4 linked regions of the Elephas maximus indicus genome follow. The protein of the gene in region 4 interacts with the protein of the main gene of each other region in a biochemical or structural test. Links are inferred from orthologs where the notes say so. Each region holds a gene or a part of one and is shown on either strand. Other genes may lie near its edges. The genes, in order: DAB1, DLG4, CLU and LRP2.

What was found.
Region 1: the proteins of LRP2 (region 4) and DAB1 form a complex in vitro, tested with the Homo sapiens proteins (2 studies listed by BioGRID). The link is inferred for Elephas maximus indicus from reciprocal best matches to the Homo sapiens genes LRP2 and DAB1.
Region 2: the proteins of LRP2 (region 4) and DLG4 form a complex in vitro, tested with the Homo sapiens proteins (2 studies listed by BioGRID and IntAct, with this or other methods). The link is inferred for Elephas maximus indicus from reciprocal best matches to the Homo sapiens genes LRP2 and DLG4.
Region 3: the proteins of LRP2 (region 4) and CLU form a complex in vitro, tested with the Homo sapiens proteins (3 studies listed by BioGRID). The link is inferred for Elephas maximus indicus from reciprocal best matches to the Homo sapiens genes LRP2 and CLU.

The regions. Positions count from the first base shown.
Region 1 is NC_064821.1:101,487,942-101,495,520, forward strand, and holds the start of DAB1 (disabled homolog 1), read right to left. Parts: upstream 3,020-7,579; 5' UTR 2,878-3,019; intron 1-2,877. UniProt on the Homo sapiens protein: Signaling adapter of the reelin-mediated signaling pathway, which regulates the migration and differentiation of postmitotic neurons during brain development.
Region 2 is NC_064837.1:13,634,377-13,641,475, forward strand, and holds the start of DLG4 (disks large homolog 4), read left to right. Parts: upstream 1-4,080; 5' UTR 4,081-4,343; coding exon 4,344-4,434; intron 4,435-4,745; coding exon 4,746-4,844; intron 4,845-5,032; coding exon 5,033-5,073; intron 5,074-5,742; exon of another isoform or gene 5,743-6,153; coding exon of another isoform or gene 6,154-6,183; intron 6,184-7,099. Other genes in the region: ACADVL (very long-chain specific acyl-CoA dehydrogenase, mitochondrial), read right to left, coding at 110-214, 540-738, 1,134-1,259, 1,356-1,485, 1,726-1,870, 2,302-2,436, 2,526-2,590, 2,681-2,753 and 3 more. UniProt on the Homo sapiens protein: Postsynaptic scaffolding protein that plays a critical role in synaptogenesis and synaptic plasticity by providing a platform for the postsynaptic clustering of crucial synaptic proteins.
Region 3 is NC_064840.1:45,514,740-45,521,940, forward strand, and holds the start of CLU (clusterin), read left to right. Parts: upstream 1-4,187; 5' UTR 4,188-4,202; coding exon 4,203-4,340; intron 4,341-7,201.
Region 4 is NC_064824.1:67,491,974-67,499,709, forward strand, and holds the start of LRP2 (low-density lipoprotein receptor-related protein 2), read right to left. Parts: upstream 3,008-7,736; 5' UTR 2,536-3,007; coding exon 2,457-2,535; intron 1-2,456. UniProt on the Homo sapiens protein: Multiligand endocytic receptor. Acts together with CUBN to mediate endocytosis of high-density lipoproteins. Mediates receptor-mediated uptake of polybasic drugs such as aprotinin, aminoglycosides and polymyxin B.

The sequences.
Region 1 (7,579 bases), on a different chromosome or scaffold from region 4:
CTGCATGGTGGCTCAAGGCATCAGAAAGCCACCAAATGCAATTTTTAAGTTGGGTACTGTCAGGTGCCAAGCCAAACACCCACCCATTTGAGAAAAAAAAATGACTTTGGAGGGTAAAGAGAAGCGAAAAAGCACATTCTTCTCTGGCTTTTGGAGGAGAAAATGAACAATAAGTGATACGATCTCTTCCCAGCAGCCTCACACAATGGTAAGCCTTGCAAATGAAACATACTGTGAAACAGCTTGTGCGATGAGCTTCATCAACAATAAGTAATTTTTATTCAGATTTTATTGTTGAATACAATGAACATGATTAAATGTTTCAGATATGCCTATTCAGACCTTAAGCAAACCACCAAAAAAAAAAAAATCCACTAAAAATCATCGTCTAAATCTGCTTTAGGAAGAGATTTAATTGCCAACTTGCTGTGTAGGACTGAATTTCTACTTGATAGTGGCACTTGTTCTCAAGGAGATAGTAACAACGTGTTTGCGCTTCCCACCTCAGTCTCTTCTCTCAGCCCTGCAGATCCTCCCATCTTTGCCTAATAGTTACAATGTCAATCTTTTCAAATCACTGCATTTTGAACTTCCAAAACCTCTAACAGGCCTCTGTGTATGGCAAAGAACAATAGTGCTTCAAAAGCCATTTCTCTGAGTTCTTCAATGCTCCATTTGAATGCTGGGGTTTCAATCAACGATATCAGCAGACAATTTTGATTGCCTGGAAGTTGACTTTTATATACCTTTGATTCAGTAGCCCTTCTCAATAGGAAATAAAATAAATCTTTGATCCCTTTTAGTTTTCAGAATTGTCACCAAACCTCTTCCAGACAGGGAGTGAAAGAGATGGGGGAAAACGTTCCTAACCCCATCCAACCTCTCGTCTCCCCCTCCCCCTTCTATCTTCTTGACTGAGCAGTTTAGGGTTCCAACCAGAATCACTCATCGCTGAGATAATAAAAACAATGGGTGCTAATTCAGGGGGTGGGGATAGTTTATAATTTTATGCATTTCCCGAAGACCTATAATTGGCACATAAATGTACAAACGTGAACCGGGTAATTATGGGGTTCTGAACGTAAGCCACCTTTAATTTATATGATTACTTGAAAACATGTTAAGCGTTATAAAGTGCCAGTGGAACCCCCACAAGGCCTTTATTCAAAACCACCAACATTGTGAAAGGGTGTCTAACGGGCCAGCGGGAGGGGAGCAGGCAGGAGGGAGAAGCAACAGCGAGAATTCTTCCTCCGATCCCCGAAGGCTCGCCAGGAGACGCATTGTAGCCTCCCTGGCGCTGGAGGACTCGCTCGGCCAGCTCCGGGACGCTGAAAGGCGCTCTCGCTTCATCACGCTCTGGACTCGCCCCTCTTTCTAATTTGGCTCAACACAGGCGTGTGTCGGCATCCAAAGGCACACGCAGGCTCGGACCCACGCAGGCACGCACCCCACCCTCGTCGGCACACACCCAAGCGGACAGACACCCGCGCCGCGGCGCACTTCGCCCACGCCGAGCCTCCAGCGAGAGCCCGACCGTGGTCGCCCAGCGTCCCTGGTCTCCCCACCCCCGCCCCATTCCTTCACTCACCCAGCCAAGGCGGAAGTGCCCAGGCAGACCCCCAACAATGAGGACTTGTGTAATGCAGTTGGGGTGGGCGGTAGTTTACACAGAGTGAAACATACACAATCTGGCAAGTCCGGGAGGGGGCAACGCAGGAGACAAGTGTCACCAGCTTCGCGGGGCAGCTTTCTCTCGTGATCCCCTGCACCCCCATCCCAGTTCACCAGAGACACACACACAAAGAGCCTTAAAAAGTGCGGAAAATAAACGCGCCCTCCCACCAGGGGTCACAATTAACACTCTGCAGGATAGAGCCAGCGGGGGAGGAGAGAGTCCCGGCTGCAGCAGCCACCCTGGTTTTCAAATTTACTCCGTCCACTTGGCCAATGGCCCCTTTCTGACGCCGCGGTATCATCTCCCCCAGCTCTAACTCCCTGACTTCTGGTTCTCTCGGCGGTTGAGACCCCGTTTTGTGGCTCCTTTATGAGCCGAACCACGGTGATTTAAAGTTTCCCCAGTAGGAAAAGAAGAAGAAGAAGGAAAAAAAAAAACCGAGCTCTACGTCCGAGGCAGAGCGTTGAGTCCAGAGCAGAGAGAAGGAAAAGGGGAGCGAAGGCGTGGGGAGACCTCGGGTAGCAGGAAGCCCGGGGAGTGGAAGTGAGGCGAGGCGGGTCAGAACTGAGTCGCTGAAGGACTCGGGGAAGGCTAGGGTCAGAGGGGAAGCGAGACCAAGCTGACAGTGTCAGCAAAAGGGCTGCGGTTACTGGGAAACATCCGTCTACCAGATAGTTCAGAACAGAACCGCAGCGCTCCGGCGAGTAGGGAAGTAAGATCAGGGCTCGGGCGAGAAGAAAGTCCCGACGGCGAGCGCCGCTAGCGAGGCAGGGAGAAGCGCCCGGGACCACAGGGCAGATCCTGAAGTGGAAGAAGGAAAGCTTGTGGGTAGATGGACCCGGGGACGCAGGAATGAGCGCAGTGGGTCCCAGGGAGAACCAAGTGTCTTCGATGGACAAGTCTGGAGAGACAATCGCGAGTGGTCACAAGTAGAGAGATAGGGAGGACCCAAGAGGAAGGCGCAAAGGTCTCCCCTTTCTCCTCCGCTCCCCTCACCCCCGCCCCCAGGAAGTGGAAGGAGCGAGCAGAAAACTGCTGCAGTCGCAATCCCAGCAGAGCCCCACGCCAAACTCCCGAGAGGGGCGCGCCTCCCGGAGCCGGAACCCCGGCGGAGCCATCCCCGCGTCCCGGCGATGTGTACCCGCAGGCCACCTGCCAGCGCTGAACTCCGACTGCCGCGTGCCCTCCCCGCGCCTCACCTCGGCTCGCCCAGAGCATCCTCCTCCGCTGCCGCAGCCGCCCAGGAAGGGGCTCCCCATGCCCGGCGGGCGACGGGACTCAGGCGCGCTCTCCAGCCCGGGGAAGCCCCGGCGAGCGCGGAGCTGGGTCCATCCTCCTGGGAGCCGTGGGCCCGGCGTCAGAGCAGGGGGAGGAGACCGCCATGCGCGCAGACCCGCCTCCTCCCGCGGCCCCCGCGCCGGCCCGGCGCCCAGCGACGCGACTCACCTGCTCGCTCCCCCGCTGCCGCCCGCGTAGCCGCCCGGCGCGCCCCTCCCCTGGCCTCACGGCTCCCGCTCCCACTGAGGCGCTCTCTGCGCCTCCCGAGCGCACTCCGAGAGCTTAGCCGAGTCTCGGTGACGACCAGGAAGAGCAAGAGCGAGCGAGCGGGGGCGCCGCGGCTCGCAGTCGCGCCTCTGGAGCCCCAGCGCTTACTCCTCATCCCGGCGGGAAGGGGGAGAGCCGAGCAGCGAGCACAGGGTCCCCGCCCCAGTTGCGGCGGCGCGGAGGAGGGGTAAAAAGCCATCAGACTCCACTTTCACAAAGTATCCAGTGTTTTCGCCGTTATCCCACCACCAGCAGCAGCCCCCGCCCGGCATCCCTCATGTTTCTCATGGGTCTTCTCTTTTATCCAAGCCTCCAACATTCACCTTTGGAAATATAAAGAGTGCCAGTGAGCGGAAAAAAACCCAGGGAGGTTCCTAGACGGTGTGTTGCCCCCACGCACCTTTGCAAGAGGGGACGCTCGTTCCCAGCGGCCAACCCTGGCTCAGCGCTCTTGCAGTACCTGAGGTTTCGGTGGCAAAGTTTGGCTATAAGGGAAAAAGCTGGCATCTGTCAGGTTTTCATCAGTCCCTGGGAGGGGTCCACGCCCTTCAACCTTCACTCTTTTCATTCTTAGAATGCCTGCGAGTGAACAATCCTAAGATTAGATCAGTGAACACAATCTGCGCAGGAGAATAATCCAGCGAGTACACTCAGGCGTTCCCTAGTTCAGGTCCTCACTTCCAAAGATCCTAGGAACTCCAAATCGCAGAACGTATTTTGAGAGTTCGAAAATTCTCCTATCCTGAGACTGGATTCAACTCCAGCAAATGCCTCTTGTGGCACCCCAGTTTCCAGAAGCCAGATGCAGGGGAGAAAAATCAAATCAAGTGCTGTCCTGTCATAGCAGGGCGGGGAGGTGGAAAGGAAAAGGCAGACAACAGTTTCTTGAAAAGTTTATTTCTCCACTTTTTAGGGGCCACACTCCTGTCCTCCAGCTGTGTAATAATAAAGCTAACGTGCTGTTTTGGTTTTGTTTTTCTTCCCCCCCCCCCCCAGCTGCTGTTGCTCACCCATGAAAATTTAATGAAGCATTTAGGGTTATTACCTCCAGAGTCAATGGGCTAAAAATATTTAGCCTAATGCACTTCTCGTGGAGTCAATAGGTCTGTGGCTGGTACATACAAAGTCACCGAGAGACCCTCCCTTTCTCCACAAAATTCACGACCCATTAAACTCATTCCGTAATAACAGCTTCTGTATAAATGGAGGCCCATGCAAATGGAGGCTGTCATGCACCTCCTGAAAAGATAGCCATTTACATAGAGACAAGAAAAAATTGTGAGGTCACTGGCAAGATGCAATCTTGGGGAAAGAGTTGATCAGAAGAAACTCCCAACAAGGTGGGGGGAAGGGTGCCATCCCTGATATTAACTCTGTTCCTGTCTACTTCTGTTTGTGACCGTGGACAGTGGGGTCCCAGGAAACAGGCTCAAATCTCTCAAACTCTTCCAAAATCCTAGGGAATTTAATTCTAAAGTAACACTTGAGATTCATTAAGTAGGAAGTTGAAGCTTGCTAGGCAATTCTATTAACAAAATTCATCAGTTTCCTCATCCACAAAGACAGACCATGGGAAGCTGAATGCAACAGGAAGAATTGAGGGGACATGGACAAATCAGACAAGATATGGCTGAAATGGGGAGGGAGGTAAAGAAAATCATTAAGTACCTCAGGTGGTTGGGACAAATGTCAAATCTTGGGAGAGGGAACATAGCTCCAACTTTTCATTGACTCTACTAAGAAACACTCCAAGGTTTCTCAGTGCTTTGAGGGCAGCTGGGGAACATGAAATTATTTATTATACTAGTACCTACCAGAGCCCTGGTGGCGCAGTGGTTAACCATTCATCTGCTAACCTAGAGCCTTGGAAACCCTGTGCAGTGGTTCTACACTGCCCTGTAGGGTCACTATGAGTCAAAACTGACTTGATGGCAACAGGTTATACGAGTACCAGTTGACTGATCTAGTACCAGTTGATAATACTAGTATCAGTTCTGACTCATGGCAACCCCATGTGTGTCAGAGTAGAACTGTGCTCCATAGGGTTTTCAATGGCTGAGTTTTGGGAAGTAGATCGCCAGGCCTTTCTTCAAAGCACCTCTGCTTGGAATTGAATGTCCAACCTTCTGATTAGCAGTCAAGTGTGTTAACCTTTGTACCACCCAAGCAGGGACGGATTACCCAATAAACAAGGTACGCGTGGGTTTATTTGTGTTTACTTATTAATCCTCAGTGCATAATTTCACCAGATGTGGTGAAATTATGCGCTACGGATTAGTCAGTAAACACAAGTAAGCCTGCCTTGCTTAACGTAAGCCCATGCATACCTCGCTTATTCCGCCCCCGCACCCAGGGACCCCACATACAAGGCCTGCATGTGTGAGTTGTCCCCTTTACCTGCCTTCCACCTTGTCCTGATTTAAATTGATGTTATGATGACAGACTTTGAAGGAAATGTGTGATACTGAGTTGGCTAAGGACTATAAAGGTAAACCCTGGTGGCGTAGCGGTTAAGTGCTACAGCTGCTAACCAAAGGGTAGGCAGTTCGAATCCACCAGGAGCTCCTTGGAAACTCTATGGGGCAGTTCTACTCTGTCCCAGAGGGTAGCTATGAGTCAGAATTGACTCGACAGCACTGGGTTTGGTTTTGGTTTTGGTTAAGGACTATAAAGGGAAGAATCTCATGCAAAACTCTATATTCAGTGTTAGACAAAGTCCAGCATGGATACTGGGCAAACGCCCATGAAATCTGACAGGGGCAACAAGCCAGAGCTGTTTCCAAGTCCAGGCTGGAAGAAAGCATAATATATAGGTGCTAACTGCTCACAAGCTGCCCAGCAAGGGCCAAATGGTCTTTTAGAAAAAAACTGAACCAAATTTTTAAGTGATATTTTAAGTTATTATTTTCTAAAGATGTCAAGAAACAATTCATCTAAAAGCTAGGGTGTTTTTTCCTTTGTTCTTTTTTTTTTTTTTAATAGCAATGTCATTTGTATGACGTATGGCAAAATGAAAAATCAATAAATAGTTCTTTATTACCTACTCTGAGAAACAGCAAAATAATAAGAAGAATAACAGCAAAGATGTACATATTGCTTATTATTTTCCAGGCACCATTCTGGGTATTTTTCATATATTGACTCATCTAACCTTCACAACAGCTGAGTGAAGGAGGTCCTACTCTTATTGGTAGGTAGTGGATAGAATATAGACTTTGGAATCCGATGCTCCTGAGTTGTCTTTGGTAAGTTACCTCTCTTAATTTCAAACTTCTCAACTCTACAATCACCACCCCCCCCCAAAAAAAAGGCTGTCGAGACCCTATAGGACAGAGTAGAACTGTCCCGTAGGGTTTCCATGGAGCAGCTGGTAGATTCTAACTGCTGACCTTTGGTTAGCAGCCAAACATGTAAACCACTGTGCCACCAATAGGGAGAATAATACCTGCTTCATGAGATTGCTGTGAGCCTTAAATGAGATAGCCTCTTGGATAAGTGTAGTACTGAAAAAATCACCCAGTAAACACTGGTTCTCTTTCCAGAATAATTCCGAAATCGTTCATTTTAATTGAACAGCATTTATGGAGTATGTTCTATGTATCAGGCACCATACTAGGCACTGTGAAAAATGATGATAAATCAGAAACAGATCCTGTCTCTGAGAAGCTCAGAGTCAATTGCATAAAGGACATGGGCATGAGTAGCATGCAGATGAGAGAAAAAGGGCTTTACTGAACTTTACATAATCCATCCCTGTGCACATGCTTCTCAAGATACTCAGAGGGGCAGTTCAGGTAAGTGCTGTTTGAGAATGACCCATCATAGAGTGCAAAACCAAATGTCAGAAATCATAAATCCTAATAGTAGTACAAATTAAGTACAGCCAGAATGCTCCTTAGAAGAGAGGATGGTGAGACTTTGTCTTATGTCCTATGGACATGCTATCAGGAGGGACCAGTCTGTGGAAAAGAACATCATACTTGGTAAAGTAGAGGGTCAGTGAAAAAGAGGAAGACCCTGAACGAGATGGACTGACACAGTGGCTGCAACAATGGGCTTAAACATAGCAAGGATTGTGAGGCTGCTTCAGGACTGGGTGGTGTTTCATTCTATTATGCAGAGGGTTGCTATGAGTCGGAACAAACTGGACAGTACCTAACAACAATAGTAGTATCGACTCCTCCAAAGAGGGGAATGCAAAGTAGCCCATTTGTGTATTCCACATTATTTAAAATTTTGTTTATTCCTATAATTTTTCAAATATATCTCTCATTGGATGGGGTATAATATAATTAATTTGTGCTATAAGCTTTGAGGTCTCCAAACACAAATTATACACAATCACTGCTTATTAAA
Region 2 (7,099 bases), on a different chromosome or scaffold from region 4:
CTAGGGCATTGGTGTGAAGCTGGAGACCCACTGCCCCAGGTGCTGCTGGGGGTTGTAGTCTGACCCAGCAGAGAGAAAGGCTCCAGGGAGGAGGGTGAAGGGCTCTCACCTCAGTCACATAATGCAGAATTGCCATGCGGGCCAGCTTCTCCTGAATCATCCCAAAGTTGTGAATTTTCTCCCCAAACTGAGTACGGTTAGTAGCATGATCCACCTGGAAAAGGGCACGTGGGTTACACGGTAGTTCTGCAGTTTCCCAGCAGAGGGGCTGGAGGGAGGGGCTTTGGCCACAGCCAAGGTCAGTCCCCACTGGATGAAAGCCTAAGCTAATAGTTCAGGAGCTGTTTGTGGGGAGGGTTTTGTGGTGGAGGGAGTGCCTGCAAGGGAGTCAGAGGGGACTGTGACTCAGAGTCAGGCTAGCTATAGGGTCGCTATGAGTTAGAATTAACTTGACAGCAACAGGATGGTTGTTGGATGGGGTCCCTATAAGTTGGAGTCGATGGCAACAGTAACAGGAGGGACTCAGGCAGGGTACTCACCACCTTAGCAATGATGCCCTTCATGGTGCCTGCAAGGGCTGCAGCCATGCCAAACCTTCCATTGTTGAGAATGTGCATGGCGACCTTGAAGCCGCCTCCCACCTCACCCAGCACGTTCTCCGATGGCACCCGCACCGCATCAAAGTACACCTCTGCTGTGTTCGAGGCTTTGATGCCCATCTTCTTCTCAGGGGGCCCACTGCGACAGGGCAGAGTAGAGAAGCAGAGTTGTGTTCAACAAGTTGCCAGCAGAGGAGGAAACTGCCCCTTCATGCCTTATGAACCAAGGAGGAACTACAAATCCCAGACTATGAGAGGATACAGGCCACAGTTCCTACGATGCCCAGAGGGCTATAAAGGCTGAGCTATAGAGGCCTGGCTATGTCTTGCTAGTGGGTTGGGCCCACTATTTGCTAGGAGTCCAAGCTTTAAATCGGTTTCATACATATTAGTCCCAACAGGAACATGCTGTCTGCTTTGGCTTTTGTATCCCCCCGCCCCGCCCCGCCCCTGCCAGGGTGACATGTAGCAACCATCTGCCCTGGTGCCCAGTACTGCCCCCTCCTTGGCCCTGCCTCTTCCTCCAACACTCACTGGGTAACACCCCCAAAGCTCTTCTCCACCACAAAAGCTGTGATCTTCTCTTTCGTGGTGCCCGTGGATGCATCTTTAACCGGTGTTTTGGCAAAGACTGTGAAGATTTCTGCCAGGCCCCCATTACTGTAGAAGAATGAGGGGGCAGTCAGGAGGACTGAGAACAGTGGGGCCTGGAATCGGGGAGAGGTGGAGAAAAGGAAGAAATGAGAGGAAAATTGCCTGATCCAAATCTTGCTTCCGTTGAGGGTATAATAACTTCCACAGGGGCTGGGTACAGCTGAGCTTCGGATGGAGGCTGCATCGGACCCGCTGGAGGGCTCCGTTAGACAGAAAGCGGCCATAGTCTCCCCTGTGAAGGGGAGAGAGCACCTTTACCATGGATCCTGATGGGCATCAAAGTCCCCCAACAGCCTGCACCCCTTAACACCTCCAGGAACATTTAGTTCCTTTGCATTTCCCCACCAGCACAGTGAGGCCGCCTGAGACGCTCCCAACCAACATGTCCAGGTGTCTGGTGATCTAAGTGCCAACCAGCCAAATCTGTGCCAAGCCCAGGACACCCCACTCCTTGTCTGTAGGACTGTCTCACCAGATGCCAGTTTGGGGAGGTATTTTTCTTTCTGGGCCTTCGTGCCAAAGAGCAGGATGCCTTTGAAACCGATGCTCTGATGAGCCCCGAGGGTGATGCCCACACCAAGGTCATGCGTGCCCACGATCTCCACCAAGCGGGCATACTGGAGGGAAGCAGGCGGTTGGGCTGTAACTGCCCGAAGACCTCCCCTTGGCAGGAGAGTAGAATGGAGCAGGGCCTGGCCTAGGTCATCCCCACAGTGTGGAAAGAGGGAAGTGGAACCATGGAAAGGGCACAGCAGAGGATATATCTGACCCAGGTATTGGTGGGTGGGCGGCTTCCTACCATTGTCAAGTGGTTGGTCTCCAGCTTAGAGATTCGTTAGGACTTGGGACCCGGGGTGAGGTCCACGGCCCTAGGGAACTGGATGTAATTTGTTTTTGGGGGGTGCCTATACAGTGGGGACAGTCAACATCCCACAGGCCCTAGACAGTTGCTTGGCAGAGACCCAGGGCCCAGAAAAGTGATGAATGCCCTGAAGCTGCCAAGCTGAAGTGGAATGGCATCCCGGGGAATGACAAGGGTACCCCTCACCTGGGTGTTGCAGAGGCCCACGCCACCCAGCTCACTGGGCACTTGCAGACCAAAGGCCCCCAGCTCCTTGAGGCCCTTCAAGGTGGTCTCCTCTACCCGCTCCAAAGCTTCATTCTTGGCAGGATCGTTCACCTCCTGGGACGACAGAAGACCCCACATCCAAGGTCTTTTTATGCCCTACTAGAGACCCAGGCCTCCACTCTCCAACCCCGATCATTCCTCACCTCGAAGAAACGGGACACGGGCCCCACCAGCTCTTTGAGAAACTGAGTCTGCTCCTCATTGAGCACTGCAGGGGGGGAAGAAAGCTGGCGGGGTGAGGCTGCAGACAGGGAAGGCTGCCCTGCCTCCGCCCGGCTTTGATGACTCCTGCCCTTACCAGATGGGTATGGGAACACTTGATTGGTGGTGAGCTGGCCCTTAAACATCCCTGCAGCAAAGGACTTAGATTCCTGGGCAGGGAGAAGGCAGTTCAGGGAGGTGGCTGGGGAGGGGAAGGGTGTCTGCCCCAGCTCAGTTCCTCCCGACTTAGGGGCCACATACCACCTTGGCCTGGCTTTCCTTGGTGGAGGCATCAGAGGAGAGGGAATCTGACTGGTCCACAGCCGTCTAGAGAAAAATGGTTATCGAGGACGTGGACAGGGACTTCGGTGTGCCAAGGAGAGCACGGGGCCCGCTGGGTGCGGAAAAGGGTAGATCCCGCGACCTTTCCCCTAGTTTCATCTACAGGGCACCCTGGCCTGGCCTTTCCCCTATTTTCGGTGCCAGACTGGGTGGCAGGTGACTGGCACGAAGAGGGGGACCCCTGCCGGTGGCAGGGAGGTGGGCCCCCACTCCCACACCCCTCGTCCCAATGCCTCCATCGCTTACCTGAGCAGCCCCACTGACATAAGCTCGCTGGGTCGGACCGGGCCGGGGCTGCCCCAAGAGCGCGCTGGGCCGCGAGCTGTGGGGAGCAGGGGTTCAGTCCCGGTCCAGTCCCCGGGACTGACGTCCCCCGTCCCACCAGATGGACACAGACCTGCCACCCCTGAATCGCAGCAGCTGTCGCCCCACGCTCGAAGCCATCTCAGTCCCCTGCACCTCGGCGCCGCACAGTCCTCAGCTGCCTGGAGCGCCGGCTGACTCCTCGCTTTCGCCCCGCCTCCCAAGGTCCGCCCCACCCCTTGACTTCGTCTCAAAATGCACCGGGAGGCGGACGGGAGGGGTTTCCGGGCCCCAGGGCATGCTGGGGCTGCAGTTCCGCAGCGCCCCCCAGCTCCTGCGGTCTGTTTGACCTGGAGCAGTTCCAAGTATCCGTTGCCTTCCCCAGACTCCTTCTTCCTTTCTGTCTGAGCTAGGGTCTGCTGCTCTGCCCTGCCCTGATGAGATAGGGTGGGAGAGAAGAGGGAGGAACTTAGGCGACTGCATCCAGAGAGATGGAAGGTAGACTGAGGCAGGACTTCCAGGAGGAGTTAGAAGGGAGAGATGAGGAAAGAGTTGTGTAAGATGAACGCCAGAAGCAAGGAGGTTGGCTCTTTAAAGGTCTCTTGTGAAATCTGTCTCTTTCCATCAAAACAAAAGGGAAGAAAATGGCAGGTGAGGGACTGAACTGGAGGTGTGAATGTCCCGAACATATATCCTCCTTAGACCTAGAAGGTGTCACTAACTCTTGAAACACCTAAAACTTCACAGTAGAAAGGACCCTCTGGGCTCACTGCTTCCTGTTTAGGGCCGCTGAGACTTTGTAATCATATCTCTGTCTGTCTGCTCTCTGGCCCTTCCAGAGACCATTGCATCCAGGCTAGACCTCTAGGCAGATACATGTGTCCCAGGCCTGAGAGCAACTGTGGAAGTTCTGGAGTCTTCCTTTCTCCCATGCTTCTCCAGCCCTGGGTCAAGAAGTTCCTGATAATTTATAGCCCTCTTCCCACAATTCCCGCTGGGGACAGGCCCAGGAGGGGAAAGAGCTGGGCTCTGCTTCCTTTCCTTTGTGCTGCGGCAGCCTCCTTTTAGGGAAGACCCTTTTTCCAAGACCCTCAGGAAAGTGTAGCTAAACTATTATGGTTATGGGAAGAGGGAGCCAGGGTGTTGGGGAATTTGCTGTGGTGGTGCCTGGGAACCTGGGGAAAGATGAAACAGCCAGCAGGTCAGGTCAGTTCGGAGATTACCTAACAGCTAAAACTGGGTCAGGAGAAGGCAGCTCAACTCCAATCTGGGGGGATTTGGGAGATTAAAGTGAGAGAAGAGAGATGTCGGAGAGACCAAGAGGTGAAAGACAGGGGTTCTTGTGGGGAGGCCCAGGGGGTGGCCTGGGGGCTGGGACTCTGGGATCCTTCTCCCCAGTCTTTCCTTGGGGTCTGGGGTGAAAGGGCAAAGGGTGGGGGAGATGAGGTGAGTGTTTGGCTCTGTCTCTGGGCTGGTCTCTTCCTTGCCCCAAGCCTCCCTCACTTGCGTTTTACCAGCTCCCAGGTCAGCTCTCTGGCTCCTGGCCCCTCCACTACTGTGGTGGGCACCCCCGCTCCTCACAGTGCTGCACAGTGATCTCTTTCAGGCCTTGCTGGGTGAGTAGCCCCAATATTCTGAGGGACAGAGGTGGAAGGGGCTGAGCATGGACTTCAGGGTTAGTTGGGAGCCCGGTGCAGGTCTTCCCGGCAGTGTTCTCCACCAGCGTTGATGAGCAAGATGATGGCACAGGTGGCCCGAGAATCCCAGAATGGAGGAGAGTAACTCAGTTCTGTTTCTGTCACAGACATCCTGGACTATTATGAGGCCTCCATCTCAGAGAGTCAGGTAAGGAGGTGAGTGGCTGGCTTCTTGAGGGAGTAGGCAGGGCTGAAGGGGTGAGGGAAGTATTGCTCATATTACACTGAAACTTGGGGTCCTGGGTGAGAAAATCCTGAGTCCAGGTCTAGGAGCTTGGGGACACTGAAAATGTACCTGCTCCCATTCTGTAGCCCTTTCTCTCTCTTGCTTCCCTGTTTTCTCTGCCTGCCCCAATTTCAGGCGCTAAAGAGTTCAGGGCATACATAGTTACCTTCCTCCTGGGAACCCTGAGGGCGAACCAGGCCCCCAGGGATTCTCCCCTGCCAGCCCCTCCTTCCCCCTCTACCTCCCACCATGGTCACCCGCCTGTATTTGAACAGTCGTGGGTGCTCCCAGCCAAACTCTAGGTGCTTCCTCCCCTAAGAAATGAAATCCCTCATCTTTGTCTTTGGTAGCTTCCCTGGTGGCTGCCAGGTCTCCTCATTTGCCTCAGGGCCTCTCTGCTTCTGCTTCTAGCTCCTTTCCCATTATCCGGGTTCCTGCCAGCACCGAAGGAGTTAACTCTGTCAAGGCACCCCCCCCCATTCTCGCTCTTCGCTCCCTCCCTCCCTCCCCCTGCTTCCTCTCTCCTCCTCTCTCCCTTTCCCTCCTCGGCTCCACGGCTCCCTCGGCCGCAGCCGCTTCCAACCCCCCCACCCCACTCCCCCGCCACGGCCCCTAGGCCCTGGCTATTAGGCAAGACTCCCCCAATCCCGGGGCTCCCTGAAATCCAGTTCCCCTCCCCCATCCCAGCTCATGCCCCAGCCCCCGAACCCCGGGGCTGCCAGCCCCCGCTGCCCCCGCCCCTCCTGAGAATCGGGGTGTGCTCCCCAAGCCCCTTCCCCTCCACTGGGGACCCCCTTTTAGGGCCCCCTTCCCCTCCCTCCCACGCTCCCCTACCCTTCCCTTCTCCGACCTCCTCTTCCCCCTCTCACCCCTCCCCCCATCCTGGCCCCCCCTGCAAAAGTGGGGTGCGGAGGGGGGAGGGGTGAGAACCCGCGGAGGGGAGGAACGAAACTCCGATGAAGTCAGAGCCCCTTACCCGCCGCCGCGGCCAGGCCCCCCAACATGGACTGTCTCTGTATAGTGACAACCAAGGTAAGCGTGATGGGGGGGGGCTATAAACTGGGGGAGGGTAACGAGTTTGTGGGGAGGGGTTAGATAGGCCTAATCTAGGGGTGGCGGCGCTGGAGTGGGAGCATCTGAAGTAAGATGAATTTCGGGATCATAATTTAGTTTTGGGGTTCATATATCAGAAAAAACTGGGTTTGGCCACAGGTGCTCTCTGGGGTGATCTCTTTGTACCTGTAGAGAAACGGAAAATTTAGGGTGTTGCATGGTTTTGGGAGGATCTGGTGGATTTGGGGGTTCACCATTGATGCTTGCAGGAGACTTATTTAAGGAGAAGCATGGCTCACATGGAGGCTTGTGGATGTTGGAAGGTGGGCTAGGTGTAGGGTGGCCCTCTTGCCTCCTGGGGACAAGCTGGCTTCCAGATGCCTTGTCCAATTTTGGGGGCTCCTGTGCGTGAGGCTAGATTATTGGTTGTGAGTTCCTGACTGGTCTGGGGGTGTCAGCTGGTAGGGAAGGGGTGGGCCTTCAGCCATAGAACAAGATACATTTGGGGATGCACCCTCAATTTGAGGGCACTATTAATTTTTGGATTTGATTATATGAAACGGGAATACCTGGGAGTTGTCAAGAGGACTGGGGCCTGGTAGGGGAATCACCTGAGGGAATGAATGGGAGGTTAGGATTTTGGTTACCCCCATGGGAGGCGGGTTACTGCAGCAGTGGTTGCCAGCTCCTGAGGAGGAAGATGAGAGGTTTGGGGAGAGAGGGGATTTAAGGAGGGAGACCAGGTGGGTGGTCTGAAATCTGGGGTGGCCCAGGCAGGTGCCCAGTATCCCCATCTCCTCCCACATTGCATCTACCTCTGGTCCAGAAAGAGGAAGAGCAGATGGAGGGGAATGTTCCTGCTACCCCTGACGCTTGGGATCAAGATGGGGGAGGA
Region 3 (7,201 bases), on a different chromosome or scaffold from region 4:
TATATATATATATATATATATATATATATATATATATATATATATATATATATATACACACACGTATATATGCTTCATTAGTTTTGTTTCTCTAGAGAACCTAGGCTGAGACAATCCAGAAAACCAGAGGGTTGGGGAAGAATCTGCAAACAAGTTACATGGCAAGGAGCTACAAGCAGCCTAAGTACCCTCAAATACTGGAAGAGCTGTCAGAGGAGAGATGGATGGGATTTTCTCTGTGTGTCTCCAGAGGACAGAATTGGGCTTGGTGGCTAACCCTTATAGAAGCTAGACCTTGACTCAACATAAAAAGGTCCTAACTCTATAAGAAGTTTTACTAGAGAACTGTTCTATAGGAGGTAGTGAGCTCCCAGTTATTGATGGTATTCAAACAGAGCAGGATGACCACCTGATGGGGCTGTTGTGGTGAATCAACATAGCTTCACTGTTAATTGTGCTGTGTTGATTGTGGTCTATATTGCATGAGGGCTGAACCAGTCGACCTCTATGATGTACTTACAATATTCAAAATCCAGTGATACCCTTATGACACTTCCAAAATTCATACTTTTTTTCTTAAAGTTTAACCTTCTAAACCTTGTTTTGGGAGTAATCAAATAATCATTCCCAGTGGACCACAGTCATGACTGTGAATAAGTTTATTTTGTCCCTAATCCTTTCTTCCTTTCTTCCCTTCCCCTACTTTAGCTGACTAAGGCTGATCTCCCTGCCTGTCCTCTAAAGTCAGACTTTTAAAAATATAATTATCACAGATTTATGCCTCCTGTGCTGGATCCTGGGGGAGTTGCAGGTCAGATTAGTTACAAGGAGCGAGCTCAAAAACAATTCTTCTGACCTTGGACATTGATACAATAAGGAGGAGGCAGTTCCCATAGAAAATGTAGCTGTTACCGATAGACTTTTTTTAAGGAAAATAAAATGAAGCCTCTTCTTGGGGAAAAAGATTGCTCCAAGATCTCTCAGGAAGTTTTTTCATCCAGGCTGAGCTTTTTCTCACACTTGGCACTGAATCGGGTTAAGGTGAAGTTGTTGTTAGGTGCCATCGAGTCGGTTCTGACTCATAGCAACCCTGTGTACAACAGAACAAAATACTGCCTGGTCCTGCACAATCCTCACAATCGTTGTTACACTCAAGCCCATTGTTGCTGCCATGGTGTCAATCCATCTCACTGAGGGTCTTTCTCTTTTTTGCTGACCCTCTACTTTACAAAGCATGATGTCCTTCTCTAGGGACTGATTCCTCCTGACAACATGTCCTTGCTTCAAGGGGCATTCCGGTTGTACTTCTTCAAAGGCAGATTTGTTCATTCTTTTGGCAGGCCACAGTATATTCAATATTCTTCTCCAACACCACAATTCAAAGGCGTCAATTCTTCAGTCTTCCTTATTCATCGTCCAGCTTCCACATGCATAGGGGGCGATTGAAAATACCATGGCTTGGGTCAGGCGCACCTTAGTCTCCAAGATGACATCTTTGCTTTTCAACACTTTAAAGAGGGCTTTTGCAGCAGATCTGCCCAATGCAATGTGTCTTTTGATTTCTTGAGTGCTGCTTCCATGGGTGTCGATTGTGGATTCAAGTAAAATGAAATCCTTGACAACTTCAATCTTTTCTCTGTTTACCATGATGTTGCTTATTGGTCCAGTTGTGAGAATTTTTGTTTTCTTTATGTTGAGGTGCAATCCATATTGAAGGCTGTGGTCTTTGATCTTCATCAGTAAGTGCTTCAAGTCCTCTTCACTTTCAGTAAGCAAGGTTGTGTCATTTGCATAACGCAGGTTGTTAATGAGTCTTCCTCCAATCCTGATGCCCTGTTCTTCTTTATATAGTCCAGCTTCTCAAATTATTTCCTCAGCATACAGATTGAATAGGTATGGTGAAAGGATACATCCCTAATGCACACCTTTCCTCACTTTAAGCCATGAAGTGTCTTCCTGTTCTGTTTAAACAGCTGCCTCTTGATCTATGTAAAGGTTCCTCATGAGGACAATTAAGTGTCCTGGAATTCTCATTCTTCACAATGTTATCCATAATTTGTTATGATCCACACAGTTGAATGCCTTTGCATGGTCAATAAGACACAGGTAAACATTTTTCTGGTATTCTCTGCTTTCAGTCAGGATCCACCTGACATCAGCAATGATATTCCTGGTTCCGAGCCCTCTTCTGAATCAGGCTTGAATTTCTGGCAGTTCCCTGTTGATATGCTGTTGCAGCCACTTTTGAATGATCTTCAAAAAAATTTTACTTGCATGTGATGTTGATGATATTGTTCAATAATTTCTGCATTCTGTGGAATCACCTTTTTTGGGAATAGGCGTAAATACGGACCTCTTCCAGTCATTTGGCCAGGTGGCTGTCTTCCAAATTTCTTGCCATAGACGAGTGAGTCCTTCCAGTGCTGCATCTGTTTGTTGAAACATCTCAACTGGTGGCGGCTTGTTTTTTGCCAGTGCCTTCAGTGCAGGTCGGACTTCTTCCTTCAGTACCATTGGTTCCTGCTCATATGGTACCTTCTGAATGGTTGAACGTCAACCGATTCTTTTTGGTACAGTGACTCTGTGTATTCCTTCCATCTTCTTTTGATGCTTCCTGAGTTGTTTAATATTTTCCCCATAGACTCCTTTGATATTGCAACTTGAGGCTTGAATTTTTCTTCAGTTCTTTCAGCTTGAGAAACGCAGAGAGTGTTCTTCCTTTTTGGTGTTCCATCTCCAGATCTTAAGTTGAAGAGGACCTTTCAAATCCCTCATTGAATAGGTTGGAGAAACTGAGGCCCAGAGAGGCAAAGAGGTGCAAAGTCACTCAGCCCCCTAGGGGTGGAGCTGGGACTGTAACCAGACTCCCATTCTCCAGGCCCAAGCCTTCTGGCTTCTTCACGTGCCTTCACAAGCTCCCTCTAGGCTGCCTCCTGCATCTATGAAGGAGGGCAAGAAAGGGATGAGGTCCTTGTTGTACTTGGACCTTCAGGAACCAGAGGCTGGGTCTCAAGACTGTACCTTGACAGTCATGAACAAGAAAGGTCAGCCCCTGGACATATAGCTCTCCCCTAAGCCCTTTCATTTCACATGGTTTTCAAAGTGTGGCACCGCAAAGCAAGCTGTTTGTACCTGCTCCATCCACCCTGTGCCCTTCAGTGTCAGAGCAGCCTTTCAGCCCCTTGCCTTCTTTCCTGTTGCTCAAATGCCCTGAGGGTCCAGAGTAAGTGGCTCAGCTTCTTCCCCAAGAAATAGCTGCACCTGAGGGGCTTCTGGGTTAGTCCTCTCTCTGTCAGGGGGTGGGCGGTTGTGACAGGAGCCATCTCCCACCTCCCTGTCCCTGGCCAAAGTGAGTCCACAAACAAGTTTCCTACTTTCAGAAGAAGGACCTTGTGGCAGATAGAGAGGAGAGAGCCCTCTTGGGTTTGCTGCATAATTCGTGGAGACCCAGTGCAAAATGAAAATGTAGGGCCTGTCGTTCAAAAATTAAGAATTTCAAGACTGCGAAAGCAGCACATTAAACCAAGCGGAGGGCTGCATGGGTCCCATGCAGGCAGCCCTGCTTGGCTGGGTCCCTGGTGGGTGGGGACAATAATTATGTATGCTTCTTGACCCAAGCAGCTGGGAAAAGTCCCCTGGTTGCGCAAATTTCTACTCTGTTGATTCCTAAACATATTTCTGTTTCCTCATGGCCTGGCAGTCTGAGAAGGGACAATGTGGTGGTTCAGGGAGTCAGGGTTTCAGTAATTTATTCTTTTCCTTCTCTAGCAAAACCACCTCTCCATTCCACCCTTATTATTTGACACTTTGCTACTTAAATGGGACAACAGAAGTGGTGTGTGTTCAGTGTGAATAATATTGTTCAGTGGGACAGGAGAATTGTGAAATTTTATTTTGGACTGAGAACCAACCAGGAGCGCAGTGGACATGACACCAACTCTGTGAGGGGGCGCTAAGGGTGAGACGCGAGACGCCCAGCTGTGCACACATTAACTAAAGCTCCCTCCTGGGGCGCCATCCTCCTACTCTGCACTCCCTGGGCGGCGCTGCGGCACCGCAGGGTCTATGAAATCTGCGCGCCATTCGCGGTGCCCGTGCGCCCCCTGGAGTCTCGCATCTGGTGCAGCACTGTCTGCCCCTCCACCCACACCCAGCGCAGGCTTCCAGAAAGCTCCCTGCGCATTTCTCGGCATTCTTTGGGCATGAGTCATGCAGGTTTGCAGCCAGCCCCAGAGGGGGTGTGTGCTAGACTGACCGCTATAAATACTGGCGCCCTGACTGTGCTCATCACGCAGCCTCGCCACAAGGAGGAGCGCACGGAAGCCCGGTGCCAGGGACCGGTGAGATGTACTTCCCGATCTTTCCTATCCCTGTGCAGAACCTACACCGGGACGGATGGGCGGGCGGGCGGGCAGGAGGTGGCAGCCATTCGGGGAGGGGATGGCAGGGATGTCAGAGCTGGGCTTAAGAGGGCATAAGGGAGGCCCAGGAACGGAGGTGGCTAGAGCCCGTCACAATGCAGCTGATCCAGGTGCTGAATTGGTGGGGCCCTGGGATGCCAGGGCGGCACACAGGCTGGGCCTCGGTAATGCCTGTGCTCATTAGCTCCAACTACATTTCTGTCGGGTGTAATGATCCTCCTTTTATAAAGATGAGACTTGGAGAAAGGGCTTGGATTGCCCCAGCCCACAGAGCTAGTGAGTAGTGGAGCTGGGGACTGCCTGCAGGCCCTTCCTGCCCCATCTTCCCTGTGAGGGTGCTGATCTCCGTTGTAGTTGTTGGTCTGCAGGTATGAGTCATCGTTTTCTGTAAATTCTGCAGTGCTCTGGATAATGTGTTTGTAAATATGATGTTTTGGATTTATATATATGATGCAGCTGCCTGCATCAGAGAAAAGGCATACAACCTCCTTCAGGCCTCGGATGGCTAATACAACCGTCTCATTTTATAGATGATTCTCTGAGGCCTAGAGGTTTAGGACTTGCTCTACAATTACGCAGCAAATAAGAGTCAGAATTGGTACTAGAATCTAAACCTTCTTGACCTTCCAGAATTTTTGGAACTAATTAAAACTGATTTTTTTAAAGCAATTTTTAAATTCCTTTAAATTTAATTTTAAGAGGTTTTAGGAATTTAAGAGTAAGTACAGGTACTGCAGAAGGATACTCATGAGACTTTTAGTTATAATAGTAGGAAATTAGAGACAAATGCCTGAATTTATGAGAATGGTAAAAATAAACTGGGGCACATCAGAACATAGAATATTATACAACCATAAAAAATATACTTTTAAAGAATATTTGAAGACAGTGGATATAAAGGATCTAATTGTGTAAAAATGCATAGAAAATAGAAGGACATATTAAAAATTAATATTTGCCTCTGGATAGTGTGACTTGTGGATGACTCATTTTCTCATTTTTCGTTTTGGGTTTGGTTTTCTACATTTAGGGAAGTGTTGAGATAGGCGCCTGGTCTCTGGCATCAGGCCTAGGTCTGCAGCTTGCAAGCTGTTCGCCCTCCTTACTTCGCGGTGTCTGGATCCTCCCCACCGCTCCTCTGCACTCTCACTGATCTCTTTAAGCCTCTAATCCCACCCTGCTGGGCCACCTACTGGCTTTGGAGGTGGTGCTTGGGAGCTTTATGGGGGCCGGTGAGTAAAATGCTCTGAGGAGGGTGTGCCTGGAGGAAAACTGCGCTCACAGTCAACCTTATGCCCCTCCATCTCCTTGTCTTCCTTCCTCTTCACAGCTCTGTCACCCACAGGGCCAGCTTTGGCTAATGAAGAAACCAGACCAGGTGGTTTAAGCCTCCTGTAGGGTTGCTATGAGTCAGAATCGACTCCACAGCAGTGGGCTTCTTTTCCTTTCCTTTTTTTGGTTGGGTGGAAGAAGGCTGCGAAGCAGTGGTGGAGAAAGAAGGGCCTTGGTGTAGCTCACCCAGTTAGAGCAGGTGGCAGGCCCAGTGGTTAGGAGCTGACAGAGGAAGCGAGTCAGGGAGGAGCGAGGGCCATTGCTGTAGTGCTGCCCTTGGACCAGCGATATCAGCATCACCTGCAGACTAGTTAGAAAAGCAGACTTGGAGCTTTGCCCTAGACCTACTGAATCAGAATCAGCATTTTAACAAGGTCATCAGGTGATTCTTGGGCACTTTACACTTTGAGAAGCCCTGAGCAGATCATTGGGGAGTAGCCCATGGTTTCCCTAAGGCAAAGCCACACAGACAGAGCAGGGACCACAGGCAGTCTATCTGTGCCTGTTTTGTTTCCTCTGACCCTCTATAGACACATTACCTCCTCCATATACTGCCAGTGAACAGAATTGGTCCTCGGTCAAATTATCAAGTAGTTAGAATTTACGATGATTATATAAGACCCTCGAGTTTATATAAAACACGCTCGCATCTCTGAAATGTACATTATGTCCATTTTACAGATGAAGAAACAGGCTTGGAAATTTAAGTGACTTGGTGTCAAGGAAAGAACACTGGACTGGGAAGAGTTGGGAGGGCTGAGTTTTCATCCTGGGGTTGCCATGAGCTTGCTGTGGGCCTTGGGGAGCCCCAGCGTATCTGGGCTTCAACCTCCCCTCTAAGGCAGAGGGATTGGGCAGGAATGATTTCTTTCCCAGCTCTGAGCTTGATGGCTTATGGAGGTCCCTAGGCTCTTGGTGGGAGACCCTGTATGAGCTACTGAGTCTCTGGACTCCTCATCTAGTACTCCTCCCTTTGACTGTTCTGCCTCCCCTTTCTTCAGCAACCACCGCCCCCCCCCCCCCCCCCCCCCCCCGGTCAGAACCTACCTCAGAGGATCTCGTATAGATTTCTCAGGAGTTGTTGCTGTCAGGGCCCTCTCCCAGAGAGGTGTCTCTTGCTTGCTTTGCCTCTCTGGTATGACAAAGGTTCTGTCCCTGCTTGAGGCATTTCAGGCCTCAGTGAGCAGCAGGCAGAACCTGTAAGACGGCCTTCCCCCATGCCTGAAATAGTACCATCTCCAGCCACCCACCTTGACTTTGGGGAAGGTGATGACCCTGCACTCTTCTCCCACATTCTCCTTCACTCTGTGGGACACCTAACTGCTTTTTGGGAGAGGCTTTCTTTATTGCTGTTCTACCAAGTATACAGATGGGCCTGGTGTTTGGAGTATGGTTTTTTGATGTGAGCAATTTCAGGAAGGGAGAGCATCCTCCTCCCCCTTGTGTTA
Region 4 (7,736 bases):
CATCTACAATGTCATCATACTTCATCTGATAAGCAGGATCAATAAAACAGGTATCTAGACCTCAAGCTACCAGCTGAAGACATTCAGAGGACATGTATCTAAAAACAATGAAGGGGAAAGACTAGAAATGCAGAGCTTTCGGTTCAGGTCTTAGAAACCTGAAATGAGTTTCTGAAAAAATACCCAGTTACAAAGCAGCAGGTGGATTTTTGCCTTAAATGGTAAAGATTTGCAAAATGCCCCTCAGCTCCCTTTGTAACCACACACAGTTACAGACACGGTATTAGACAGCATGACATTTTAATACAAAAGAAAAAAGACAAAGAAATGATCAGAGAGATTCATATATCACAATAGTTAAACTATGGACTCCCTTGAGTCTGCCATTTTCTAGCAGTATGACCTTGGACAAGTTACTTAATTACTCTGTGTCTTATCTATAAAATAGGGATAATAAGATACCCACTACTTCAAAGGAGGTACTATTAAGATTAAATGAGTCAATAAGTGTAATGGACCTGTGTGTGTGTGTCTGTCTGTGCACATATATAGATAGATGTTATAGAATGGAAGCTAGATAGATTTAAACTATCAAGAAGAGTAAGTACAGGTTATTTGATGTACCATCAACTCAAGCTAGAGAACATCTGTTTTGGTTGGGGGAGGACGGGTGGGGAGACAAATAAATCCAGCCAAGATTTTCTTTTGCCAGACATTTAAAGAAACATATAGTAAAATCCTGTGGCTATATTTAGGACATGAGTTAAATATAACCCTAAGCAGGGTCTCAGGTTAAGCCCTCAACAATTCTTTCTTGTGTTACCAACACCGAAAAAAGGTGTTCAAAGGAATTGCTAAAGGTCTCCACCTGCCTCCCTTCCCTTTCCAAAGATTTTTGCAACACCATTCGGGCTTGTTGGCTTTCCACACTTCTTCCCAGAAGTCTGAAACGGGTGCTGTTAGGAGGTGCTGTATAATTACTTACTTGATTCCGTCTAAAGAGCTTAAACTAAGAATTGAGGAAAGAAAGCAGATTAACCATTTGAATACATGCCACCGCCCTTTCCCTCCACTCCACCCCACCCCACCCCCATAAGTGGGAGCTTCCACAGTCCCCACCCGTCAACCCCAATATGTGATCCGGGAAAATCAATTTATTGCATTGCCTAATCCTACAACAAAAGGGGTTTCATTTCATTGTAGGACAATTAAGTTGTCCGACGGGAAGGACGGAGAAGGAGGGGAAACGGGGCGCGGGGGGACTCTCTCATCCCCACAGACAGATTAGTCCCGTGGCGGCTGCAGCGTCCGCTCTGTCTGTCTGGTGGTCGGTCACACGCAGCTCCTGGCTGCTACCTAGCAACGCAAAGCCAGAGAGAGAGCTCGCCGGTTCCACTGCCTCCTCTTCACCGTTTCCATTCATCCCTTCTCTCTCTCTCTCTTCTCTCCCTCTTTCTCGTTTTCTCTCTCTCTCTCGTTTTCTCTCTCCAAACTTGCTCTTGTGCCCTCTTTTTCTCCCTACAAATTCGCTCGCTCTCTCTCCAAACTCGCTTCTCTCCCCCTCCTCTCCCTTTTCCTCTCGTCTTGCTCCTATTTATTTCCCTCTCCTCTTCCCCTGTTACTATTTATATTCTCTCCACTTCTTCCTCTCTCTTCTCTCCAGAGCTCTCCAATAACGTAAGAGAAGTTTAAAGACCTTAAGACCAGAAACTTTCTGCATTCGAGCCCTCAAAACTCTGGCCGCGCAGACCGGCTCCATTCATCCACACAAAAGCCCCCACTCCCGGGTTGGAAAGAAAACCCTTTAAGAAAATCCTCCAACTTATCAGCCGCTCTCTCGGCCAATCCCACCTCCTGGCCTTATCGGCTCGTAAATGATCTGTATCATGAGATGCGGTCTCTTGGGGGGTCACCTCAGGACCAAGTTTCGCCGGTGATCGGGGGAGAAGGGGGAGTGCCCTAGCCCGCGGCCCTGGGCGCGCCAAGAGATCTCCCCGGCAGGGCGTTGCAGGTGGAAAACTGCGCTCTGAACAGTGCGAAGGACTACTCAGCCCTGGCGAGAATAAATCCGTGGGGCTAGCAGGTTGGAAACTTGGTGGAGAACCTCATTCTCTGGAGATCCAACTACAAAGTGCTTTCCAGAAAGGTCGGGAAACAGCCCCCCGTGGGAACAAAGACGGGGGCCCCGGTGCGGTGCGCTGTCACTGAAACCCGCGGGGCTGCTTTCTCAAGTTTGCAGCTGCACTGTTGCCGGGGCGAAGGAGGGGCGCTCCCGCTAGCTGCTCGCAGGGCAACCTGAGCGCTCCAAGGGGAGCCGCTCTAGCGGCGCCGCCTGCCCTAGCCCCTGCCCCGCCGCGCTCCCCTCTACCGCCCGCTCGCCCGCCGGCGGACGGACCCAGCCACTGCCCGGGAAGTCCGCGGCTCCGCGTGAAGCTGAGACCGGCAGGCGTGCTTACCTTCGCCGCTGACCGATATCAGGCAGGCGGCGAGCGCCAACAGCAGCGCGCACGCCGCTGCCGCCGTCCGGCGCTGCATCCCTGCGACGGTCTCCGCGCGTGGCCACCGCCGCACCGGCCTCACGGTTCCTTCCCCGGGAGGTGGGTGCGCGTTGCAAGTAGCAAGTAGCAGGCACCACTTTAGGCCCGCACTTCGGTCCGTTCCCGGTGGCAGAAAGTCAGCCCGGGACCTCGAGGCATCCCGTTTTCTACCCGCGCCTGTCCCCACCCTCCAGACAGGGTATAAAGCCCTTTAGAACCGACCGCCCCGGAACTAGCATGCGGGAATCCAGCGGGGCAGGCCCCCTGCCGCCCGGCCCGCCCCCAGCACTTTGCAACGCAGGAAGGAGCGGGTACTCAAAACTCACTCGCGTTCGTACTTGCACACTCCACAGGCACAAGCACACTCACAGGTAGCCAATCTAACACGCACACTGACGCACATACAGTCGCACACACTCCACAGTGATTGGCAAACACAGCTACTCTCACACGTGCACGCACACTCCTCACAGTCATATGCACACACACACAAAGTCCTCATAGTTTCACACTCACACACACACACAGGCACGAGCTACCCTTGCCTGTCTGCAGGATTTTCCTGAGCACTGAAGCGGTTAGGCGGCCCACTGGGGAATCTACCACCCACACGGTCCGAGAAACTAAAGGAAGAATGGAAAGTAATGGGGGGGGGGGGGAATGTCAAAAAGAGTAGGGGAGAGAAGGGAAAGGAAAAGAAAAAAGAGAGAGAGAGAGGTGGAAAGAGAGGAGAGGGAGAGGGAAAGGAAACAGTAAAGGCGCCTACTGGAGGTATTTGTCCCCTCCGTTTCTGGTCTCGAATCCCTTGATTACGACGATTTCCTTCGATAGGGTTGAAGCTACCGAGACAGGGTGCCCTGTGTTTTTAAAAGTTAGGGAGGGGGCTGGGTCCTTGTTTGGCTTTTCTTAGCCACCACAACTGTAAGTGTTAAGGGCAGATTATGATTCTTACAAGTCTGCGTTTTGGGGGGCAATTCGTTTTGAAGTACAATTGAACGAACATCATTTCCTTCGTGCAGATGCCCGTTTGTAGAAAGGAGAAACATATGGGGTTCTGGAAACCCCGCGGCACCCTCCTTGGACAGGCTGGCAAGGACCCGGCCCTGGAGCACTGCGAGTGAACCTTACACTCGCCCTTAGAGAACCGTCCTCAGCCAGTACTTGACAACAGAGTGAACAGAAGAAAGGAGGGTTGGCGCAACCTGTTTCTCTGCCTTGGGAGCCCAGTGTGAGAAGGGGATGTTTGTGGATCTGGAGTCGACCCAGAGTCTACTGCCCAGGTCCCTGCACCAACTCGGTAGCGGAGCCTGGGAATCCTGGTCCAAGGAGTTCGTTGTCAGGAGCTTTTTCCCACAGCTAGAGGCCTTGGAGGCTGCAGCCCTGGCTACACGTGGCCCCTGGGCTGTGTTCCGCCTCCTCGCCATCTCACCAGGGGCGAAAAACCTGCCAGGAACTGCCAGCCCCTTCACTCCAAAGTACCAATCGTCTGGGGCTCTGCTGACCCCAACGGTCCGAAGCGCACAGCTTTCTTTGGCTTCAGTGGTTGGTGCAACTTTGGGCGGGAGGAGAGGGAGGAGGTAGGTGCCGTTTTTGAGATGAGAGAAGGAAGGGAGGGAGGGAGGGAAGGAAGAAGGAAAAAAAAGGAAGAAAGGAAATTCAGAGTATAAAGTTGAGAGAAAGAGCAGAAAGATTTCGTGGCGAGATTTGGAAATCCCGAGTTTTCTGCTCTGGCCAGAGTCTCGAGAACTCTACTTGCCGCGCTGCACTGTATTTGTGCGGCGCCGAGAGGAGGCAGGATTGGGGACCGTAGGGGGCAGGGGGCTGAGAAGCGAGAGGGACGACCCGGGTGGGAGGAGGGGAGCGGTGAGGGGCCAAGATGCTATACTGCAGTCTCCGCGGGTGATTTATGCCGGTTCCGGGCGGCCGGAGCAATGGTACGAAACCGCGCCGGGGTCATGCAGCTCCGACGCCCGCCGGGGCCGCGCTGCATGGTCAATGAGCGTCCCAGCACCCCCGAGTTACAAAGGGCGGCCGCCGGCCCTGGGGAAGCGCGCACTGCAGGCCCGGTGGGAGGGACGGAAGATCGAGCTGGCGGGAGGGGCTGAGCTCGCGCCCAGCGCGCGCGTGGGCGTTGGAGGGTGGAGGGCGGAGGGTACCCGCGCAGGCGTGAGCGCAGGGCGGTGTAAGAGTGCGTGCGCGTGTGTGTGTGTGCGTGTTGTGTGTGTGTGTGTGTGTGTGTGTGTCCTTTCACTGTAGCAGCCGGGGCTCCAAACATTCCTTTCTGCACTGAAGGGTTTTCCTCATTGTTGTCTCTGTGTTCCAGTGTTGCCAACTTACTGGAATTCCTGACGTGGTTGCACAGCAGGGCTCAGGCTGAGCAAACCCGCCAGCTGCGTTAGTGTTTGGGGCCGACCCTGCAGTTAATCCCAGAATAACGCAGGAGGAGGGGGGAAAGAGGGAGGGAGGGACGGCGAGAGGGAGGAGAGCAGAGAGAGGGTGGAGACGGAGAGGACCAACAGAGCCAAGCCAATCATTCTCAACACTGTGTATGTAAACTCACACATTCACGCTCTTTTCTCCTAGAAAATCACATTTTCTAAGTACAGTCTCAATCTTGTGACACTTGAAAAAGCATCTTCTGCAGCCTGCACCATACACGTGTTTATCTCCAGAATCTATACTTGAAAACGCCTCTTGCGGGATTTGGACCGCCATCTGGTAAAGCCCAAGCTAATTTCAACTAAGACTTAAGCCAGCATTATTTCTATATGATGCAAAAGTGTACATTTTCCCCCACATTTCTCTCTCCATGTGTGTATTGCAGGATTTACAGAACATTTAGCCAAAAGAGAGGAGAAAGTGCTGAAAAGTGAAATTTGTCCTAGCAAATTTGTTGATTCCCTTATGTTTTTTGGCTTGCCTGTATTATTTTACTTATTCTCTCAACCCCAAATTACTGGAAATATAATTCCTGTTCCTATCTTATGCTTCCACTTCAAATAAGCATGAAGTTATAAAATCTCCTTAGGTAAAATCCAACCACAGTTCGCTATTTGTCCAACCCAGATTTGCCTCCTGAGTACCACAGAGCCAATTGCCCACTGGACAGCCCCTATTCAGTGTCCCACCACCTCCAGCTCAGCATAATAGAGCCTGAACCATGAACCTCTGGTGGTGCCTATCCCAGAAGTCAAGATAGAAATTTGTCATTCTTGCTCTTCTACATTTACCCCCATCCATGTGCAATCAACCATGAAATTCTGTTATTCAAATTCCTCAATCCACCCATTTGTCTCTCAAATGCACCCACCTCTCTCAACCTCACTGCCAGTAGCCACCAGCCCCTCTTACCTCAGTTACAGCAAGAGCCTTCTAACGGGCTTCTTGCTGTCAGTTCTGCTCCCTCTTAACTATTTTCCATTTTGTAAACAGAATGATCTAAAGTCATATTTCCACCAGACAAGTGCTTACCAGTAGGGACCAGTAGAAGGTTACAAAATCAATTCAGTAGCTCAAGACAAGGATTATTTTCAAATGAATTCCAACAGAATAGGAACTAAAATAACTTTTATGCAGAAAGGATATTTTTTTTCGTAACACTCCTGTTTCAGTTAGGCATACATATGTATATATATTCCTATACATATACTGTGTCACCATGTAAAATATATTTTTATTATGCATCTCAATCAACAAAAGTTTGAAGTTATCTCTCTACAAATTACTTATTAAGGGAAAATAGTAACTTTAAGTGCAGAAATTTAGCGGACACCATATTGACAAAGTAATCAAAGTTAACATAACAATCAAAGTGAACATGACACAAACTAATAGCATATGCCTCCTGATATGACACACTGTGAAGCGCACAGCAACACTTTTATGATATTCCTGCCCAAAATGCATAAGCTGAATCTACTCATCAGAAAACATCAGACAAACTCAAATTCAGAGACATTCTACAAAATTACCTACCTTTTCTTCAAAAATAGCAAGGTCATAAAAGACAAAGAAAGGCTGAAGAACTGTTACAGACTGAAAGAGACTAAAAGAGATATGACAACAAGATGCAATGCACAGTATTGGACTGGATCATAGACAAAGGGGGAAAAAAAAAGCTCTAACGGACATTACTGGGAAAACCAAAACATTTCAATATGAACAATGGATTGAATAATAGTATCATATCAGTGTTAAATTTTCTGATATTGATAACTGTAAAGTGCCTATTAAAGAGGATGTTCTGTTCTTAGAAAATATGCCCTGAAGTCAGAATCAACTCAACAGCCACGTGTTTGGGGTTTTTTTGTTTGTTTGTTTTTTGTTTATTTGGGGTATGATTCTGCAACTTGCTCTCACATGATTAAAAAAAAAGTGTGAGAGCGTGTGTATTAGGAAAAATAGAGAATAATAGGGCAAATGGACAAAGGATATATGAGAGTTTCTTATGCTATTCTTGCAAATTTTCTGTGAGTTAAAGATTATATTAAAAATATTTTTGAAAAACTTGCATTAGATCATAAGTTCTACAAGGGCAGTCTTCTGTTATCTCCCAGTGTTTGCTCTTACTATTCCCTCAATTTAGAACTTTCTCGCCCTCCAACTCTTCCCGCATCTGGTTAATTTCTATTCGGTTTTCTGGTCTTATCTAAAATATTCCTTCCTCCATGATACTTTCCCTGACTTTCTGTACTGAGTTAGGAGACTCTCCTATATATGCCCTAATAGCTCTCTCTACTTCCCTCAGTCCAGCACCTGTCACACTTTTTGTGTCTCCTTGGCCTCCTCAAGGATCTTCTCCCCATTGCAGCAAGAATACTCTTTTTGCAGTCATTAAACCAACCATATGGCTCTCGTGACTATAACTCTTCAATACTTTCCTATTATTCCTGGAATGGAATCCAAAAATGTTAGCACGGCCTATGAGTCCCTGCAGGACCTGGTCCCTGAACTCTCTCCAGTCTCACATAACAGTCCAGCCACACTGGCTTCCACTCAGTTCCTCAAACATACTCTAGGTAGTTCTCAACTTATGATATATTCGAGTTAAGATGAACTGTACTTACAACCATCCCCTTCTTTTTTTTTGGTACATCTTATTGTTAGTAATATATACTACATACAATGTTGCAGTGTGTAATTTGCTAATGTTATCATCCTCAGATGTAATGTTTCCAACACCCAAATATAGGATTTATA